3 linked regions of the Styela clava genome follow. The protein of the gene in region 3 interacts with the protein of the main gene of each other region in a pairwise test. Links are inferred from orthologs where the notes say so. Each region holds a gene or a part of one and is shown on either strand. Other genes may lie near its edges. The genes, in order: centrin-3-like, uncharacterized protein LOC120336830 and centrosomal protein POC5-like.

The links.
Region 1: the proteins of centrosomal protein POC5-like (region 3) and centrin-3-like interact in binary tests that used the Homo sapiens proteins (3 or more experiments, as listed by UniProt). The link is inferred for Styela clava from reciprocal best matches to the Homo sapiens genes POC5 and CETN3.
Region 2: the proteins of centrosomal protein POC5-like (region 3) and uncharacterized protein LOC120336830 interact in binary tests that used the Homo sapiens proteins (3 or more experiments, as listed by UniProt). The link is inferred for Styela clava from reciprocal best matches to the Homo sapiens genes POC5 and CETN1.

What each region holds. Positions count from the first base shown.
Region 1 is NC_135263.1:8,826,974-8,833,678, reverse strand, and holds centrin-3-like, read left to right. Parts: upstream 1-4,735; 5' UTR 4,736-4,794; coding exon 4,795-5,298; 3' UTR 5,299-6,160; downstream 6,161-6,705. Other genes in the region: regulatory-associated protein of mTOR-like, read right to left, coding at 682-828, 905-1,063, 1,652-1,734, 1,810-1,912, 2,839-3,024. UniProt on the Homo sapiens protein: Plays a fundamental role in microtubule-organizing center structure and function. As a component of the TREX-2 complex, involved in the export of mRNAs to the cytoplasm through the nuclear pores.
Region 2 is NC_135251.1:24,741,368-24,748,588, reverse strand, and holds uncharacterized protein LOC120336830, read right to left. Parts: upstream 2,971-7,221; 5' UTR 2,546-2,970; intron 1,709-2,545; 5' UTR 1,696-1,708; coding exon 1,186-1,695; 3' UTR 502-1,185; downstream 1-501. Other genes in the region: E3 ubiquitin-protein ligase RNF123-like, read right to left, coding at 6,315-6,405, 6,759-6,844. UniProt on the Homo sapiens protein: Plays a fundamental role in microtubule-organizing center structure and function. Plays a role in sperm cilia formation.
Region 3 is NC_135261.1:1,715,434-1,723,285, reverse strand, and holds the start of centrosomal protein POC5-like, read right to left. Parts: upstream 3,097-7,852; 5' UTR 2,856-3,096; coding exon 2,769-2,855; intron 1,866-2,768; coding exon 1,718-1,865; intron 306-1,717; coding exon 204-305; intron 1-203. UniProt on the Homo sapiens protein: Essential for the assembly of the distal half of centrioles, required for centriole elongation. Acts as a negative regulator of centriole elongation.

The sequences.
Region 1 (6,705 bases), on a different chromosome or scaffold from region 3:
TTTTTGTAAATTTTTTATTTTACTACTAAGTGAATTTTTTTTGTGTAGGTATTTCAAAGCTTAGAGATACACGAAAGTATTTGTCATTACTTCAAAAATAAGTCATTTGAACAAGCGGGAAACAATTTCGCGCACATAATAAACAAACAAAGATTCCAGACAACTATCGTGGACATGCTCTCACATAACATTGATTATTTCGCGTTTCGCTTCGCTTGCGAAGCTGAGTCTGGTTTTTCTGCAAAGGTGACGTAACTCTCTTTCAGAAGAGCGCTTGGAATTTCGTTTCTTTGTAACACGTGTTCATCGAAGCGATAAGAGTGTGAAACGTTCTCTCAAAATTTTTTGAAATTTCTCTCTTCTTACACGCGTAGGGTCGAACGGTTTCGCCTACGTCATTTGGGCGCGTTTTAGTAGGAAGACGCGAAAATAAGCTTTTTAAAGAGATATTGGGGGTGTTCCTTGTACGTTTGGTTAACTGGTCATTACATATTATAAAATGGTACATAAAGTCGATTGTATACAGCGGAAAAAAAGGGTTAAAGAAAATAGCGTTGAGGAAGGAACGATTAGGTAGTCAAGATGCCCCCCAATCTAAAGTCAGGAGATGGGATTCAAATTTGTTGAATAAAAGTCGAGAGTCGTTTTTCAATGATTGGCAATACTATATAGAATTCATACCTGCATGTCTTTCTCCCTTTGTTTTGCAAACATTTTGAAAGAGTTGACAATAACACCAGAATTTGAACAATCATAGACAAATATTGATGGCGTTCCCATCCATGTTTGAAGATCATAAATTGATAGCGGAATATATTGAGTATATGTCTAAAAATAATATACAATTATTAATTAATTCTTTTTGCTATGATAATGCTAAACATGTATTAGGAAAAAGAAGTACCTTGTTGAATACCCAAATTTCACCATTAACAGTTGGCTTCGGAACGCCATGGCCATTATAATGAAATAAAACTCTTTCTTCTTTAGAATTTCTTCGCAATGAAGTACATAATCTTTTGACATCTTCAACTGTCGGATCTAGAGTTTGTTTGTAACGAGCCTACAAAATAATAAATACATAACTGTTTTGTAATATACTAAGTGAATGAATATATATTGTCTTACCATAGGTGACTTATAATTTTTATGTTACAATCTGGTCAGCGAAATATATATCAATACATTAAAACTCTATACAAAATGATAAGACAGGGGGGTGTATTAAAACAGTAATTCTTAAACTTTCACAATCCATGGCCCCCTGCATCTCTATAAAAATACCAAATTTTGAAGTTACATTTTGATCAGTTATTTTATGTTCCATGTTTAATATTAAAAAATTCAACAAAAGAAAGTAAATGCATTATAGTAAAATCACAGTCAATCTATTTAGGCCCTGCTTGTGGCCCGAGAGAACCACTCGTTGGGGGGCCGAGAGCCCTATTTGAGAAACCCTGTAGTAAAATGAATGCAGATACAGAGACTAAAATACTAACAGAATGTCAACTATCCTATTAATAGAGTTCCTGGGTCTGTCTGAATGGCAAGTAAATCTCATCCAACACTGATCATTGATCTCAGTCTGAGATTTGGTCAACCTATTTATTAATATTTTAAGTTTTCAAAGTATAATATTCAAACATCATACTCTTGATTGCCATCTTTCATACTGCTTTTGCAAATTATTTCCGATTGCTTCCAATGCTTTTTGAGGTGTGTAGTTAGATGGATCTATAATAAAAGAAACAAATTATATATAATTCAAGTCCTTTATTACAATAAACAAAGTATTTTAATTAAACAAACCTATCCAACATTCTTGTCTGGCACAAGGTGTTGTTTTCACAACATCTGGAGGATCGACACCAACATTTAAACATAGAACAAGTGCAACGCTGACAGTCTTCATCTAAAAATATAAAATGTGCTACTATTGAATATAGTACTGAGATAAAATCACCAATCAATCCCTTGCTAAAAAAATGCATGCCCATATTATACAATGATTGCAATAGAGCAGTGTTTCCCAACCTTTGATGGCTCGTGGCCCCCTTCCGAAAGCTTTCAGCACTCATGGCCCCCTGTTTATCATTCCAGTGGTATTTATAGTGTTACTTTGATGGGTAGATTCCAAATCCCATTATGTTCAAACAATTCATGTTCAACAAAATGAATCTACCATGTGAAATAACATTTCCAAGCAATGAAACTAGGAACAACAGGAAGTTTTCTTGTCAAGGGAAAAGTAAAATCAGTTTTGCGCCCTGCTCTGTGGCCAATTTACAGGGCCATGGGCCCCCGGCCGAGAACCGCTGTATTAGAGTGTTTATACTTGTAATGAAAAATGTGTACTGTTTTATTTGAAATTTTTATTTATATGTTTATAATGTGAATAATAATAACTCAGTTATTGTTAAAGGAATTAGTTGAAAGAACATTAATACATAGCAAATTAATATTTATATTTAAAGTAATAGTTGCATTTAATAGAATTTCTATAAAACCAATTCTCAACTATTCAAATAATAATATTATTCCAGTAACATCACAATTGAGTGAATATCTTCCATACTAAGTAAATATTCCGCTGAAGGGTTTTATATAAGAAAACACAAATTTTGATACAATGCTTAATTTAATTTGAATATACATTTCAACATTCGATCTACATGAATAGATATGCATACATGTTTCACAAAAATGCAACATTGGATGAAATAATACAATTATCATTAAATAATAATGAACAAAATTGACAGTTATAATATACAACAGAAACACCTACAAAACATCATATAATAAAACGCACCTCTATCAACAAAATTAAACAATTACCCTTTCTTTCATTCTCCATGTTTGTGTGACTGGCTTTGAACTTGTGATGCTTTCCAAGTGTCTTTTTTGTTGAAATGCCAGAGGTAAATTCCATCCTGCTTCCATCATATTATGAAGAATCTCAGCATCCTCATCTACAGTCTCCCCCTCTTTTTCTTCATCCTTTTCAATCCCTCGACCCAACATAGTCTTCAACCAAGCTGATCAATTTACTATAAAACTCTAGTAAAGGAATGGAAGAATGTAGACATTCGGTATAACAATTTTGGCTTCAGCCCTACAAAAGCTGCAAAGCCACAGCTGCACAGATACAAAAAAGGAGAGGTCTGCAAAATAATCAATCTTAACTTCTAAATCTGTATTTTGAATTCTGTAATATCAGTTTCATTGCAAGTTTTGGTCGATAGCATATGTGTAATTATTGAATGGATAGGATTTTCATATGAATCGCTGGGATCTGAATAGAAATCCAAGACTGCAATGATATTAATCACATATCATCATAATCGTACGTAATTTTGTAAAAGAACGACATCCATATTGAGACAAATTAGATTTGACAATACTTGTGATTTTATAGCTTTACTAATGACTTTATACGCCGAGAATATGAGAATGTCACAACACATCTGACATCTTTATGTTTATTTATTATACAGACGCTGTTAAACAGTGAGACAAATTAACATACACACATACAATGAACGCCGCACCATGGTTAACTGAATATAGTTAGCATGGTTAACTGAATATCATGACAAAGCTTTCACGAATATTTTTGCTCAATGCTGCCACCTTGTGAATTTGAACACCGCCACTAACCGTCAGTTTTGACTTGATTGTGTTTTTGTTTTGTCGGTTCCGTTTGAACTTTTATAATACTTTGCAATTCTAGCGCTGAGTTTGGAATAGAAAAGGTATGTAGACTATATGTAATTATTATTGATTCTCACAACAATATTGATATTGCATTTGTTGAATACAGCATTGGACGACAACTTCTGCTGTTCTGGGATTAGACTTTCCTGGCCATACATGCTTGCATAGCTTTTGTCCTTGTATAGAGTACCGGTACCGTAATCCTATTAGATTTTTTAGAAAACATAATACATGTACGGTAGTACAAATATAAAAGAAGGAAAACATGAAACTACTGTAATTCTATGGCTAGTGATAGTTTATTTTTTCTGCATGAATATTTCCCGTACCTTAAAGCGATTTCCCGTCATTCCCGCTTTTTGTGAAATTTCCCGCTTTTTAGTGAAATTTCCCGTAGTTCCCGCATTTTAGTTTTTGCAATTTCCCGTCGTTCCCGCAGTTCCCGCATTTTAGTGCATTTCCCGTTTCCCGCATTTTAGGGTTGCCCCAGGATTAGTTCATGTAAAAATATTCACAACAATAGGCTGACAAACTATATGAAAACTTTCAATCACAAGTTAATGTGAGATATATTACCAATATAAACAAAGTCACGAATAAGAAATCTCGCAGGAAATGATTTGTGTGTATTATGTCTGTATGTGGAAAAGAACATGAACTTCTGAGTCATCTATTTATGAACTGCAGAACTGTTTATATTTTGATTCATTGAAAATACTGTTAAAAAATTTAAAAAAATATTTAATGCTAGACTTTTGTGCCATTTTAATGCCAATATTGTGTTTTATTAGACTTTTGAGTTTTTTACTACTAGAAGACATTTGATTAGCCTATTATTGTGTTTTAAGTTACCATTAGTAGATATAAAATATGGTTACAAAAAAATGTATTATATGTCAAGGCAGTACTCGTATTTACCATATATAGTAATTAAACAAATAAAAACAGCAATCACTTATCTCTGTTTTATCCAATGCTGCCTGTTCTGAATTTATGTTCCTGACAAAAAAAATCTAATCATTTTTTTTTCTTCATAATTGCCTTTTATAGAATTAATATTAAAAAAATAATTTCAAGATGAGTTTGTCTCTACGTGGAGATTTTGGACTGGAAAAATCCAAACGAAAAAAGCGGAGGGAGATTTCAGAGGAACAGAAACAAGAAATTAAAGAGGCTTTCGAATTATTTGACACAGACAAGGATAAATTTATAGATTATCACGAACTCAAGGTCGCAATGAGAGCATTAGGGTTTGAAGTAAAAAAAGCTGACGTCTTGAAAATTTTGCGAGAAAATGACAGAGAAGAAACTGGAAAAATCAGTTTTGATGATTACAATGATGTCATGACAGACTTAATTCTTGAAAGAGATCCCCAGGAAGAGTTGACAAAAGCTTTTAAACTCTTTGACGATGATGACAGTGGTAAAATATCATTAAGAAATCTACGTAGAGTTGCTAGAGAACTTGGTGAAAATATGACAGATGATGAATTGAGAGCCATGATTGATGAATTTGATACTGATGGTGACGGCGAAATTAACCTGGAAGATTTTATTGCGATTATGACTGGTGATACGTGAAACAATTCAAGCTTTAAAACTATCAAAATATTGAGTACAAACATATCTTCCTTTGGAGAAAAAATTTATTTGGAAAAGTTCTAGAATAGCATCTGATTAAAAATGTATATATGTAGTTGTTTTGGGGATTTTGGTTGGAATTATCTGACTATATAGCACGGGGGAATATCTTCTTAATTTTGAACAGAGACTTTGGACCATAAAAAATATTGATAATTCTCTAAATATTAGTTGAGATATTTGCTCCGAAGTATATGTTAAAACTCCATCATCATTTGCACTATGCTTTGCATACAATCCACCCTTTTCATCAGTATACTTTTTATATCATTATTATAAATTCACTTTGCAATAGTATCTATTTTTGAGCGGAACAAAATTCATTGGCAAGGAAATATTCAATCCTAATTCATTCAGTACATTTTATAATCCAGGTAGAAGGCTGTAAGTAGCATATTTTTTTTAAATATTTTTGCGACAGCAATTTACACAATGTTTCTTCACACAACTTTATTATGTATAGTTTTCTATGTTGTTTTATTAACTGATACAAATCATCTTCACAGGAGAAGACCGGATATATAAAATAAGTAGGTACTTCTCGGGCATTGTCTCATTCAAAACCAATATATTTCAGCATTTGTGACAATCCTCATTAATACATTTATATAATCTATTACTCTATTGCTGCTTATTTTTTGTTGCCCCAGCTAATTTTACAAAGCTTGTTGTTTTGTTGTCAATTTTTCATTTTTTTGTGTAATTTAGGGAGATGAAAAGATGGTTGATTCAGTCATTTTTGATATATTTGTTTGCATATTAGTACTTGAATATACGTCTGTGAATAAAATTATTTTTGAAATTGGTGCATCACTCTTAAGGCTAAGCTGTAAATAAGCACCAATCGAAGCTGTCACAAATGTTGTTCGCCCTGGTCGACTTATCGAAAGCAGTCATCGGGCGACGGGTGTCCCCAACCAATCTAGACACTTATCAAATTAATTCTTTTAAATTAATTAATCAAATATCGAATCAAATATATGAGTCCAAACTGAATATGTACCGTTATCACTATTTTCGTCGATACCAACAAAACGCCGATATTTCAGATTGCCGATAATATTAGGCTTACCATACGTCCCGGTTTTGACGAGCTGTCCCGGCCGGTTGACTCAAATGTCCCGGTTTGTCAGCACGGCTGTCATGGGTGAAAAATTCATATTCCTTATTGTTACAATTTTTTTTAACGGTGGCAGCCCATTTACCACTGTTTTGCGACACACTTCGCTAGTTCAGAGAGTAAAAAATGCTCTATTGTTATGTCACAATCGGTATATGTTTTAATGCGTTTTCTGGCGTTAACTACAATGCCGTTAAGTTGTCGAAATGCCATAAAAGAAGTACAAA
Region 2 (7,221 bases), on a different chromosome or scaffold from region 3:
TCACGTGGTACCGGATATTCGAATAGTAAAATGCCATTCGAATAATCTAATATTCGATTCGCTATTCGAATACTCCGCCCAGCCCTAGTTGTGATACTGTGTGAGATAATGAATGGCTTTTCGCGTAACCTTTGGTGGCATGTCATCAATACGCCAGAAAACTGTTCACTTACCCAACATGAGCTAAAAGCTCCTTGAGAGGCTATGGTCTGCCAATTGATTAGGTTTTTACACCGAACCTTTAAACATAGATAGTCACAATTGCTTATCATCTATTCTAGTTTTAGCGGTAAGCATGTTTCAATTCTTCATATCTCCATTTCAGATATCTGCTACCAATAGTAGCAAATACCAATTAAATATACTGTAGTGTGGAAAAAAAGATACCTATTGGAGTTGGGTAGATCGGATATGGGTGTGGGTGTAATATCCACGTCAAAACCATCCATTGACATCATGTCTTCAAATTTTGCCTAAATTCTGCATAAAACAACAAGCATACCAAATCCTAGCTTCAACTTTGAATACATGCTTGGGCTGACAGTCACCCAATAAAGAAAACAGCAGATGTGCGAAATATTCTAACAAAACCATTTTTACAAACAATATATGTTGTATCAAACACACTCATAAAATCACAAACAGGAAGAAGAATGATGCAAAGTAAAAAAATAACAATTGGTCCACAAACAAAAATATTACAGGAGTGAAGTCTCTTCCAGAGGAAGAAATGACACACAGCATGGTGAAACTAATGTAAACCACCCACAACTTTACTAAAAAAGAGATTAATAAAGCAGCCATTTTGTGATAGGGCATTTTGTTGTAGTTAAATATGGTCTTAAAATTTAGGGTATTTAAACAAATTTATTCCAGAAAATCAGATAGGCCATTTATCATACTTTAATAGGGCCCTTCAGTTGTGATAATTTCGAGAATACAATATTCAGAGGTAATAGGAATGAAATTTGGAACCTAAATATAGCACCTTACTGATATGCCATCAGTTTAAATGTATTTAACTAATTTATGGAACTATTCAACAAAAAATGATGTCTTGAATTTCACAGGTACAGGTAATGATGAAAATGAACAAGACCGTGTCACTGGCCTATCATCTACAATCGACCTGTAATGATAGGCAGCAGATTTTATGGATATTGAGAAGTTAAAAATTATATTACATCAATATAAACTTGTCTTCTTCATTATTCGAAGAAATTCGGCCTCATTTATTTCACCATCACCATCTCTGTCTGCCTCATCAATCATTTCCTGTAATTCCTCGTCGGTCAAATTTTCACCAAGTTCCTTTGCAACCCGTTTCAAGTTTTTAAATGAAATTTTACCAGTTTCATCATCATCAAACAAACGGAAAGCCTTTAAAATTTCCTCTTTCGAATCTTTTTCACTCATTTTCTGTGTCATCATTTGCAAAAACTCATTGAAATCAATCATTCCTGTACCATCTTTGTCTACCTCTGAAATCATCTTTTTAATTTCTTCTTTCTTTGGTTCGAACCCAAGAGCTCTCATTGCTACTTTTAATTCTTTGACATCGATATTTCCTGAACCATCAGCATCAAAAAGATCAAATGCTTCTCTTATTTCTTGTTTTTGTTCTTCTGTGAGTTCAGCTCTTGCACCACCTTTACGCTTCTGTCCACCAATGTTCTTTTTGTAACTGCTTGCCATTTTGTTTCTTTACCTAATATTGTGAATAAAAGTGTTTATTCAATTATTTATATAAAGATTGTTTATTGAATTTGGTTAAAAAGCAAGTATATGCTTACACACTCTGACACTAGACAACAACAAGGCTGTTGGCTAATGTACATATTAATTGAATATGATACATAATTAAATTGCTCGACCATTACTGCTTTTGGTGAACCATACAATCTCGTCCAGTAATAAACCAGTTACCAACCAGCGGTGTCATGGGGAGCCCAGTTGGTCTCTCAGACGACCATTAAAAATCTATCCTAGGGTAACAAGTATGGGTAGCAAACCTCTAATTCTTTGCACTAAGCCAGGTTTATTTAATTATTATCAATTCTGTATTGTATTGTCTTAAATCACAGAATTATGGTATGCTGTGTGGCGTTTATCATTCAAAATTGCAATCAATATCTACTGATATCCCGGATACCTCAATAAACAAAGCCGCATCTGTACACTGCTATACTAGTTGGGCAGTATACTGATGCTGTTACACAGTCAGTAAACAACTGGGCCAAACAGTCCTGCAGTCATTGTAAACTAGGATAACAGAAAAACCTTATTATAGGCCTACAAGTGATTACAGGATTGCAAGAAAACATAGCTCTGGTACCATAAGGTATTTATATTTTATTAAAATATAACATAGAGAGTGGTAATTAACATAACAGACAAAACAAATCTATGAAACCAGGGGGTCAACAGACAAGCAGATACCGTAATGTCAGAATGTAGAGATGATGAAAAATACATTACACACTTTGCACAAAAAGTTTTCACATATTAGGTCAGTAATTAAACTTCTAGAAACAAAATAACTCACCAATATTCAATCTGGCTCGACGCCTGACAGCTAAACACAAAGTTGAATATGAAAAACTTCCAGACGTCGATCAACCCACGAAATCAAAACAAACGCAAGAAAACCGTTGGAAACGGATTTTAATTTTGTGACCTTTGAACTTACGATCGATAGCAACGAATTTTCTCAAATTTGTTGGTTTATTAATTTTTTTCACTGAGCATCAACTTTCTCATGTAGTTCCGTGAATACGTAATCGCAGATGATTAAATATTAAACGAGACTAAGCGATCAATTGCCGGAGACAAGCGAAGAAGAAGAATAGGAGGTCTAGTTTTCACTGGCTTATAAGTCAATTTAAACACTAAAATGAGCTCAAGGGTCACAAATAACCATAATTCGACTGATGTCGCTAGGAGGTCATTTTCAAATTACGGTACCTCTCAAAGGACTCGACATTTCGCTGAAAATTAATAACGTTATCTATTATCCTTGACCACATCCGTCATACTTTTACTCCGATCTGTTCAGCATGGCAAACTTGGTGTTGTAATCTCTTACCGCATTCACACCCATATGCGACTTCCTTGGTTATGAATTTGCTGCGACGGCGAGACATGATTCACTATTTGGATTTAAAGTCTTACTTTAGTGTAAGTTTTGTGCATACGTACAGCGTTTCAAAGCAATTTACTGTGCAATTGATTTAAGTTCTTCAAACTGTTGGCATCGATTCTAATGACACGCCATTATTTGAATCCCAAATAATAATTTCGTATGCTCTGTCTGGAATACCTGTTCGTCAAGCTGAAACAATGATCACTGTAAATACTGTTTGCAAACAAGTATTTTATCTTGCCTGTTCCTTACAATCAAGATGATAATTAGTTATTATCGGAATATCGGCTTTCTTGAAACACTGGCGTGTCGATAGGCGATTCAAATTTTTAATTTAAGAAATATTTTTACAAATAGTAATTACAATAGTTCAATGAGGTTCACCTATAAGCCAATTTTCACACTCCGGACAAGTCGTACACGACATTTTCGGGATACCGGGCAATTTACGCACTCACGGGTCACAACTCAGTAGAACGGACAAACCTTCTTTGTTGAATGAGTCAAAAAAAAAATTTTTTTTTCGTGTGGAAAAGTAGACTGTCGGTCATATCATAGTGGGTTCTATCGAAGTCTGCATCAATGAGAAACTTGCCGTCGCATCTTCTCTACACGTCTTATAATCGTTGATTGGTATTGTGTATCTTTGACATGGTTTCGAGCTTAACACATGCAGCACTTATATACGGACTGAGGCGATTTATCGTACTCTACGAAATCCTTGTACGAAAACAGGGATTCGGTTTTATTATCAATTTTTCCATTCCTGCGCTAGAGGTCATTGAGGAATATAAAGTGCTCTTTAGATCCAACAATTTAACACCGTGTACCTCCGGAAGTAAAAGAGCACTGGTCAAGGAGGACAATAAACCTGTCGGGAATTCGTTACAACATAGGTTACCTCCCACTGCCGAACTAATGAGCGCATACGAATTTGGCTATCATCGTAAACAAATCGGTGGTGAAAAGTTTTTGAAGAAACCTATACTGTTTATCGCTCAGCAGTAAACGTGGTTCCAGGTTGTCAATAATCAGTGTTTCAATGAGCTAATGATTGGCAAAGATGATAGGACAATGAGATAAGGATCAGCACAATCGTCGAAGTCTTTAACTGCCTGATGGGCAACGGCATCCAGCAGTACAATAAAGCTGATTTACACCAACACTAAGTAAGTTCAGATAAAATAGTAGTCAATTCCAAATAGAACATAAATTCCACAAGTCCGTCTTGAATAAGACAGACAAAATCGGACTAACTTTGAACATAACTGGAAACGGATAATTTTTAACGCGCCAGTTTCCTCTCACACGGTCTTGCGTTTCCAATTCAGTTGAAACGAAGCGGTACATGAAGTCCAAGGAACCCTGGTATATCAATTCTGATTGAAACTATGGATAACAAGTGTACAATGATATCCGGAAAATTTATTAATAATGCTTTGTACAGAAGATTCGGGCTAATAATATTCATGAGTAAAACATACCTTTTTAACAAAATAATTGCATATTTTGTGATGAACAAAATAAAGATTGCAAATCACAGAATACGATATTATATCATAACAAATGGTTACGTGTAAAACTTGTGAAAAAATTACTAGTATAGGCATTTTATGCGAACTCTAGCAGTTGACCTAAATTGTGACTACGGCTCTCATTCAAAGCTTGTTTTCATTCATATTAACTTCTGGTTGACCTTCTTATCTTTATTACACCAATGGTCAAATATTCTTCAATCTATTTAGCTAAAATAAAATGCGCTACATTGTTAGTCTAGATCAGTGTTTACCAACTTATAGGTCGCGACCCAAAACTGGATCGCCTGGAAATCATCTTGGGTCCCTTATTTTTTCCGCAAGCTTGGAAATTATTGTTTTTTTAGGAAATTGTTTTGTTTATTTTATATTTAGTATTGTGGAGTAGCTCAGTAGTAATTGTAAATGCGAGAAGTATCACATTGTAAAATATTGGCAGCATCTATTTCGTTTAAATAAACCCCCGCGGTCCCACCACGAAGCACTATAAAAGTACTACGCGTCGTTTAGTATGAGAGTATATCCTCGGGTGGCAAGAGTTTACAAATTTTTTTTTTAAAAAATTTGGGTTGCTTGAAAAAAAGGTTGGGAACCACTGGCTTAGATCATCAAAAGAACATGAGATTGGAGAGGTGTAACCATGTTAAAATACAAAATAACATGAATTGAAGATTGAAATTTGCCTGCAAATTAAATGCATTTTACAAAGTGCGAAATTTACAAAAAAAAAATCAAATCGACATAAGAACATAGCCTAGCATAATAGGCAAACAATAAAGTTCAATTAGAAAATAGGTTCCGTTTAATTAGCTACAGATAGATTAAGAGCATTTTCCATTATCCTGTGCCTTTCAAGGGCTACAAGGTGCCATTTTTTGGAGTCGACAAAACATCACTTCAATGCCCTCATAACTAGGACCTAACGCGACTAGAGTAACACAGGAGTGAGCTATAATACAAGTTGTATCCCCCATCAAATTTTTGCACGCTGGATAAGGGGACAGAGTCTTATCCCCCCCAAAGGTATGAAATATAAAAATGGAAATAATGTAAATGATATCCAGAGCAAAGTTTTTGAAATGATCACACCGATACTTAACATGCTAACGTAAGCCGCCAAAATTCTAATGAACTAAAAATTTCCCTTCACACCCATTGAAATATAAAATAAATAGGCCCAATCGAAATTACACAAAAAGATTGAAAATTAATATTTATTAAAAATATATCACTAGAGAAAATCGAGTTTATGCTATTTTTAAGCAAAACGGATTTGTGGTATTGGAATAAGCTCATTTGTAACCAACTTGTATCTATTATATAATTGCCTAACATTTTTTTTGAGCCCAATTTCACAATTCCGTATTGAGAATCAGAATTTGTCGACACTAATACCATGGTGGGAGACAACCACAATTACATCATGGGTCATAAATACCAGAACCAGAAATTTCATTATCGTGATTTGGATAAGAAAAAAGAAAATACATGTTTTTTTACTAGTTTTCTATGTTTTAAATGGAGCCAGTGTTATCCGAGTATAAAGCAGTCGTAAATAGTACTAATTTGGTTCAATATTCCTCGTCATAAGGCGTTGTAGTAAGGCGCAAGTTCTATATTTTAAAATCAAACTACATTTATTTATTTTCAATTGGCTTGAAACTTTCAACTATTGCTTTGCAGTAGAAACATTCCTTGGCGTTCATTAGTTGGTGGCTGATGCAGGACCTGGAATAAAGATGTAATTATAATTATAATTAAACAAACCGGTACAGGCGCCCAGTATGATCTCCGTCAATGCAGGGTAATCAATCCACCAGCAATGTTTTGCACAAAAAATTGTACCAAAAGTGCCAGTTCATTTTGAGTGCTGTGCAACTCGTAGTTATCTTTGCGCGAATGATTGAAACAAGTTCACTAATCTTCCTCAGTTTATGGACTATCGAGACGGAAGACGGCATTTTTCCCGCGGGGGTAGAAAAAAACCTTTACCCGTTTTTCGCATATAAGGCATACATAAGCTCCTATATACATAATTACCTCATATAATTAAATTGTATTGCAATATAACATATACTTACTTGCATGAAGTATGACCACAGGGATTGAAAGAAACTGAAATCTCATTAGCATAACAAATAGTGCAAAGACTTTCCTCGTCCATGGGCTGCAAAAAACAGTTAAAAATCCATTGTAATCGATTCCATCGTAAGGGGAAATTGTTTAACACGAGTCTAATTCTGATAATCAATAGTTTTTGAATAAACGTCCTAATTATAATAAATTCAAACGTTGAGAATGGCACAAACAAGTTCTAAGCCTGCAAATTAATGCAGTCATTGGGAATAGCACCTAGTCAAGTTTGTTGTCTCTTTGGAGGCCGGAAGGTCCAAGCCTCCCACCCACCCTGTTCAAGCCAACATAGAAATCCTCTAAGGCCCAGTGGTTCTCAACCTGGGGGTCGCGGCGGGTTTCTAGGGGGGTCGCGAAGGTCTTGCAAAACAGAAGAAAATAAGACAAAGCTTTAGGTTAAATATTGTCAAT
Region 3 (7,852 bases):
AGGTCATAATTATATTCAGATTTTTCTTTTTTTAGTTCCATTACGAGTTCCAAACTGTCTGTGTTAACCAAGTGAATATACCCCCTGTACATAGCTTTCAGTCCCTTTACACAACTTGATGTAAAGTGGGCGAACAAATTAGTAAACTCCATATTGGTACACATACTTCTGAAGAGCCGCCACTCTGATATATACATACATACCTGGGTTATTCATCTGCCAAGTTGGCTCCATTTGTTTTCTAGCAGTTTCAGGTTCCTCACTCCCAACTGCGCTATCTTCCTCTGTGCGTGATGTGCTTCCAGCTATAAACAAGTATATATCATCAGTGATGAGATAGAAACTTTTAACCCAGAGACAAGTCAAATTTTTCTCTACCCAACATCTGGGTCAATTGTAACTGCCCCCCGACAAATATTAGGTCTAGTATAACTTGTCTTTCCTAACCCATCTGACTACGCCATCTAAAAATAATGTCACTACGACATCACAGTGAGGTAATAAGATAAGACCCACCAAAATATACGGAACGTTGTCCCGAACATGCGGACAATAACCTGCATTCAAGCAAGCTACAGTGTATACTGCTCTATTTTGTTTTTTTGCTGCAACGATCCCGATATATGAAAGGTCGCTGGGGTTAGTGAGTTCATTTTTTTGGCACAAGATGTCATTACTGGCAATCGCTGCTACACTTCGGCAAGCTCTATGAGGTGATTGTGAAGGTTGGGGTATGAATGACGTGGGCAAAAATGGTTATGATACGCCCACTAGAAGTACTTATGGTACTAAACTATACTAGACCCGAAAATTGACCTTTTGAAATCAGCAATCTTCAAGCTAATCTAAATTGAATTTAAAAATTTTGCATATTACTATAAATTGAATAGCCAATGTTCAATTGGAGAGAGTTCGGGTGTAAAAAATATATAGAAGGATAGAATTTACATATTTATTCTGAGGGGGAGGTAAATCTATAAGATGGCTTAATCATATGGCAAAACACAGCGTCTAGTCCGGTTACTAGTCCATTTCGAATATGGGATTAGTTGCCAGTTTTTTGTTTCAGATACATGGACTTTCTTTCTTCTCATGCATGTAGTTTTTTACATAACAGTACGGCAAAAAAAAAACGATTGTTTCATTTGACCAAAACTACGGATATCTTGGATTTGGAGAACTGTGACCTACTGCATGTCAATGGTTCCTTATATACATTCGTGTTCGGAATGAAAACGTTGTCAAAACAGATTACATTCATCAAGGCAATACGACAACCTAATCATTAAAGGATAAGATAAGATTTACATATTTATCCCGGGGGAGAGGAAAGCCGATTTGATGGCTAAACCATATGGCGAACCACGGCCTCTCGTCCGGTTACCATTCCATGTCGGGTATGGGATTAGTTAGGTGTTTGTTTTTCCGAAGCATGGACTTGATGGTGGAGGAAGCCGTAACCGACCAGCGGTTACGTGAACCACCCAACGGCGGCGAGGAGTCCAGCAATCCTCTCGCACATAACCACCCCGCATGGGATTCGACCTGCGAACCCATGCAGAGTGTGGCAGACCCCGGCCTCTCATCCGCTTACCAGTCCATGTATGGGATTAGTAAGCCTGTTTTTACTTTAAGATGTATTTATTTACATATCAGTATTCCCTGTATAGGGTCGTGTTAGGCATGAGATTGTTGTATGGAAAATTATATTCATCACCTGAATATTCATCAATAGTTGTTAATGGTCGATGGTCCGGTTCATTCAATCTTAGTTGAGGCAAAACGGACGGTTGTTCAGTCTGTGCAAATGTAGGATCCCACTTCGGTGTGACAATGGCGTATTTCAGAAGCTCTTGGTATTCCTCCTGGAGCAAGAAAAAAAGATGAAGTCAGTAGAGCAAAATATTTTTTCAATCAATTATTTATCATCTCATTAGCCTCATTTTATTTATTTATTTCAAATTCTCTGGCTCATCAATTAATCAATATGCCTCGTCTGCCATACAGTCTGCACAATGGAGTGCCATATGACCCTGTCCTTATGCCCAATGTGAAAATTTTAAAATCTCCAATCCTAAATGCAGCCAGCACCCTTAATTCCAAGTGCAGTTTCAAGTACTCTGTGGCGTCAGCAGCTGCCGCAAAAACATGGCGGTATTTCCATACCATGGCCGCTACGACCAAACCTATGGCGACTGACTTTTTAGCTGCCACAAACCAATGTCAAGCTGCCGTTACTGCGGCAGCAAATTGAAAACCAATGGCAGGTAAAATTTTGCTGCCGTAACTGCCGCAGGTGAGCCGTAAAGACAGGGCTGACCCTTATGGTGACAAATATTGGGTAAGTTGGGACGTTTTTCTTATGCAGCTATGGTTACGGTTTTCTAAGTATTTGGGGTTAGGGTTTAAGTAGATATAATTCCGCACGATCAATTAAAATCTGGTACGTTAATTTGTGAATATACTGTTAATACTGATTACTGAATAGCGCTATAAAACCATGGCAAGAGCTGCCGCGGTTCGTGCGTGGCAGGAGCTGCCATGAAGTGGTAAGAACTGCGCCTCCTTAATTCAGTGCTGCTTCTTTTTGAGAGTAAGAGTTTTATGTATATTGCTGTAGTGTTAAACAAAGTATAATATCAGAACAATATTATTTTACAATGACTTTAATTGGAAATTAGGTTCCAGAATACGTTGAATTTTTAAATTTATGTGCATCGCAATTTGGCACCCGATCCCCAAGATTTTTTTACACAATTATTTTTCACCTGCAAGCCAGAAGATACTGAACTTCCTCTTGACGTTTCCGACGGTAGGCGCGGTAAATCTCCGCTATCTTCGCTTGTACTTGACATAATCTTGTTCCAAAAATAAATACCTGTACTTCACTCTATAAAATCGAAAACCAATAACTTTGAAAAATATAAACAACGGACCCGGGGTCTCGCTTCAGTGACTACCGGTTTAACTTGTGGTGCATAGAGTCAATTTTTGTAGAATGATAAATAAAACGATTTTTCGACTCCAGTATAAAGGCCGATGAGCAAATACAATTGGCAAAAATTAGATTTTTTTTTATCACGGATCAGAGTATTATATGGCTTGGATCAGTATTTTTATCTTCATTAATACGTCATGTCCGAGTTGTAACAGCTGTTGGGTCGTTTGGTATCATTATCTTTTTTATGCTACCTTTTATGGGTAGCGGAGTAGAAGTTCCACATCTCCGCGGATTTACTGGTTGTTTGACCGTGTTAGTTCTTTCCAGCCTTGCTGTAGCTGGTAAACTTGTTAAAATTGTGGGTGGATTTATATTTGTCTATAAATAGTACAAAGTTATTGCAAATTTATGCAACGTCGTAGGAACTACTACAGAATGATGAAAATATTCATACTTATGTAAAAATGCGTAGCAACTTTTACCGATTTTAAAAATTGAGCGTGAACATTTTTGACTATCCAGCTATATTTGGAAAAGCATTTGCCAACGTAAATCTAAACTGTTGGATCCGATGACATTTGTCGATTAATCTTTTGAGGGAATTCGTTACCTAATGAAAAAACAAGAGAGCGATGCTCAAATATGTAGACACGAAAGCCAAAACGGAGTGGTAAAGGTATGCAATCTGTCACAGAAGACCACCGACACAACAGCGTTCACAACTAACGCGTACGTGCGCAATTTTTATTGACGACATTGTACACAAGAAGCGAATTCCATTGAGCCGCGGTCCGTGTCAGGCCTCCTGCCGGTACCTGAATATATTTCAATATTATATCTCAATTGCTAAATGCGAGGCAGTCATGGCCTGCCGATTTATTTTGTGAGTTCTACCTTCTATTTATGCGCAAACTAAACTTGGCTAGAGATCCCAGTTCATTTAAAACCCTGAACGGCCGAGTGCTTCGCTTAGTTATGACGTCATAACGGCAAAGTTCGAGAGCCATAGCAACTGCCTTGTTACTAGGGCTGGGCATTTTCGAATACCTTGTGATTTCAGAATCGAATCGAATAATATTTTTCGAATCGAATCGAATCTCGAATACTTGAAAATATATAATTGTAAGCGATTTTATTATAGTAATTGGTCCTCTCAACAAATGAATTACCGAAGACATAGAATAAATCACCCAGATAGATTACTAAGCGCTCACACAGAATAACAAACACGTTTTATCAATAACTCACTACAGAAAATAGTCATATGTTAGAATTTCATTGAAAAGATATGACTCCAATGAAAATAAAATTGGGGAATTCACCTCGACCATTAGCGGAAAGATAAAAACAAGATGGCGACGATTCGAAATTTAGCTCTGAATCGATTCGAATAATTTACTATTCGATTCGATTCGAAATGCCCAGCCCTACTTGTTACATTTAAATTTCGCACGATCCGTAACGTGACAGCATGATTTAGAGAAATTTGATAGCGTTTGGGCCCGTTTACGTACGTACACACTATTTCGTTGACGCACCTTCAAACCTTGTTTGTTTAACTTAATCGTGCGTTGCGGCGTTAACGCATATGCGGGATCGTACGGTGAGTACCTGTCTGTTTGCCCGATTTTAATCAGCTCTATTGCGCGATTGAAACGTCGCAGTGATATCATTCTTGGATAACGTAGTCACATGGAGATCTAGATTAAAATATGTCACGTAATTTTTGAATGACGTTGTCAGGAACGATATATGCAAAAATTCTTACCCACACCCACCAGAAGTTATTGTGATGCGAAACTACAGCCATGTGAATGTAAATGATATGTCTATTTCTGCTTGTCTAAAGCCTTACTTAAAGTGAAAACGTAGAAATCCTATTTATTGTTAAAGTGTGGCACAATATTTGGTATATCGCAGGACATCAAACGTAAATTAATATGTCAGTTTCTGCTTGTCTAAAGCTTTTGTTAGAGCTAACGTTTAACGAATAAAATAATAGGTCTTTATATAGGTTGTACCCAACTATATCCATTGCGTGAACGTAAATTAATATATCCACCCACAGAATCACACTGTTGCTCAGATCAATGACATTAAACAACATGATAGGCAACTCTGACGTCACTCCATAAGACTACAGGCAAAACATTGTATTTCATGATACGCTCCAATGCACATATTTCTTGTCGCCTTTCGCGTCCGTTTTCCGCTCGCTTTTGCTACTCGGCGTCTTTTTTACGTGTAGTACCTGCCTTTTTGCGTCTGTAACGAAACAAAATAATCTCTATATCTAAGAAGTTTTGCTTACTTGGAAAGCTGGAATAACAGGCAAGCTGTAAAGAGCAATTCTGGACATCATAGACTTTTTTTTTATTAGAGAAGATTACAAACGCGATAGCGGAAAGATTTGTGTGGAACATTTTGCAGATAATGACAAAGTTCAAAGTTAGTAATTTTGATGTTTGCGCTTAATCATTGAAATTTCATTTAAAGAGGGTGTCATACAAAACTGTGCTGCGATACAATTCCATAACACAAAGTTTGCACCTATCGAACTTGCTTTTGTAGGTGAATTTATTAGACATATTACATATTCAGTTAATCGTAGGTAACATTGCTGGTACATAATGCATCGTAGATAGGTTTGTTTAAATTTAGGAATTTAGCTCATAGCCCACTAATTAATATTATCTTCTATGCAGGAGGTTGCAGGGCTGAATTCAACTTGCAGCCTTACCGATCACCTGACGATGCTCATTTAGTTTGGCTCGAGCAAGTCTTCTTGAAATGCTTGTGTGGATGGAAACTACCTATATTTTTTGCCTTCCTCCGATTTTAGACAAATTTATTCTGAGGGATTTCGCATATAATTCTCACTGATTGTTGGCTGTTTATAATTCCTATTGATTGTGAATTCTGATTATAACAATGAGTTGAAAATTTTTTTACCTAATTTGCTGGCACCTTTTTCTTGTCAATACTCCAAGCTGAGGTAATAAACATGACAATACATTTATGTCATCTGGAAGCAAAATATGCACACTAATTAATAGTTTGGCACATTGAGATAATACATCATGACAGAAAATACAAGTTAAAGATATGTATGACCATCACATGGTAATTAAAATTAATAAAAATTAATAGGGGCTGTGGAGTATGGAAAGTTCAAGACAAAGAAAAGAACAAATGTTCATAGCTCATGAACTCTCAATTTTGCCTCCATTGCTTTGTGAAGGCCAATATATTTCGAGTGGCTGAATTGGTTTACCTTTATGATAGCAACGATTTTGTATTTAATATAGCGAGATTATTTCAATTTAATTGAAGTGATATAATTTCCCAAAGCAATGCTTGAATCGTCTAGAATAGATCAGTGGTGTCAAACTCATGGGTTTTCGAGAGCCGCATTGCATTTTGAAAATTGTAAAAAGAGCCGCAAACAGTTTTTGATAATGTATACTCAAAAGATATTTTGAAGATAGTTTTAGTTTGTGACATATATTGTGATGCAACTAAACAGTTGGATTAAGTTTTATTATTTTCTTCAATTTCAAATGCAATTACATATTAATATTTGCATTCCACTATTATTGCAACATTTGCAAGTTACAGTATTTATTATAAAAAATCGTAAAATTCTATGTACAACCATCAAAATCATTTTTGAACAAGCTTTGAATAAGGAAAGAATAATACATACACTAAAAATAACTTAATCTAAATATATGAACCTAAAATTAACAAAAATACTACAGTATAAACTCAATGTTTTAATAATTACATTTGTCCTGGCGTTTGGCATCTTTTTTGTGTCACCAGCATACTAAGGCCAGTCTGAAATGATTTTATAGTACCAACTCTAACTAACGAGGCCACATGATCATGGGTTTATCTGGATCTTTACGAATGTTTAATTAATTCCAGTAATGCAAAAAAGTTACTTTTATCATTTCATGTATAGATCAGTAAAAAAACAAATGACAGATTTTTTCGACAAGACATTTCGCACTACATTGCGTGGCATAGGATTGCTTGAATTATTATTGATATTGATTTTTAGTAACTAAGTCGTTGTATAATTATATTAATATACAAACACATGGAAATTTTCTGTTCGAAGTTGGTCTTCGAATTTGTCATATTGACTGCTGAGCTTATTGTGTTTTTTGATTGTATTGATGGAAATATGACAAATTAAACAATGTGCTTCAGAATTTTGTGAAGAGCAGAAATGTTACAACTCCCATTTTCTTCGAAAATGCCACCTTCTTCATGTACTTTGCGTTTAATTTAATTACTCAAGTGTTTTATTCAAGTATTCTTTTGCTAGCTTGATGTGTATTCTTAATTGGGTCAAAATGTGGACAAAAAAAATTAATATTCCAAATCTACTTTCAGTAAATTGTTTTCTGTGTGAATAATCAATTTCACTTTAGAAGGTTTGAAAAATCTATTACATTTAGATAAAAAAAAAAACTTCCAAAATACTATTACTATGTTAAGCGTTCGAGGGCCGCACTGGAAGTTCTCTGGGGCCGCGAGTTTGAGATCCCTGGTCTAGATTGAAGTTGTTCAAAAAATATATAACATTATTTTATCATGAATGATGATTATACCCCTTCCGGAATTTCTTCTATAGTACTACCAAAAGTTGATGAACCAAATATAACACAGGTGCAGTGAGGTACCCGTAATCCTCATTTCCAAAGCTGTTTTAAGTATGTCTGGCGTGTTTTGTGCCTTTTTACAAATAAGACCGCTTATGCAATCTTACGCTTTGGAATTTTTAGTTATTTTCCTCAAGCCCTGCAGGATGTGGGGGCCATACACAACTCTACCGGAGGGTCAAATGCCTTTGCATGCCTCCATAGGTTGTTTTTCTATTGCAAATTTCTATTTTCAATT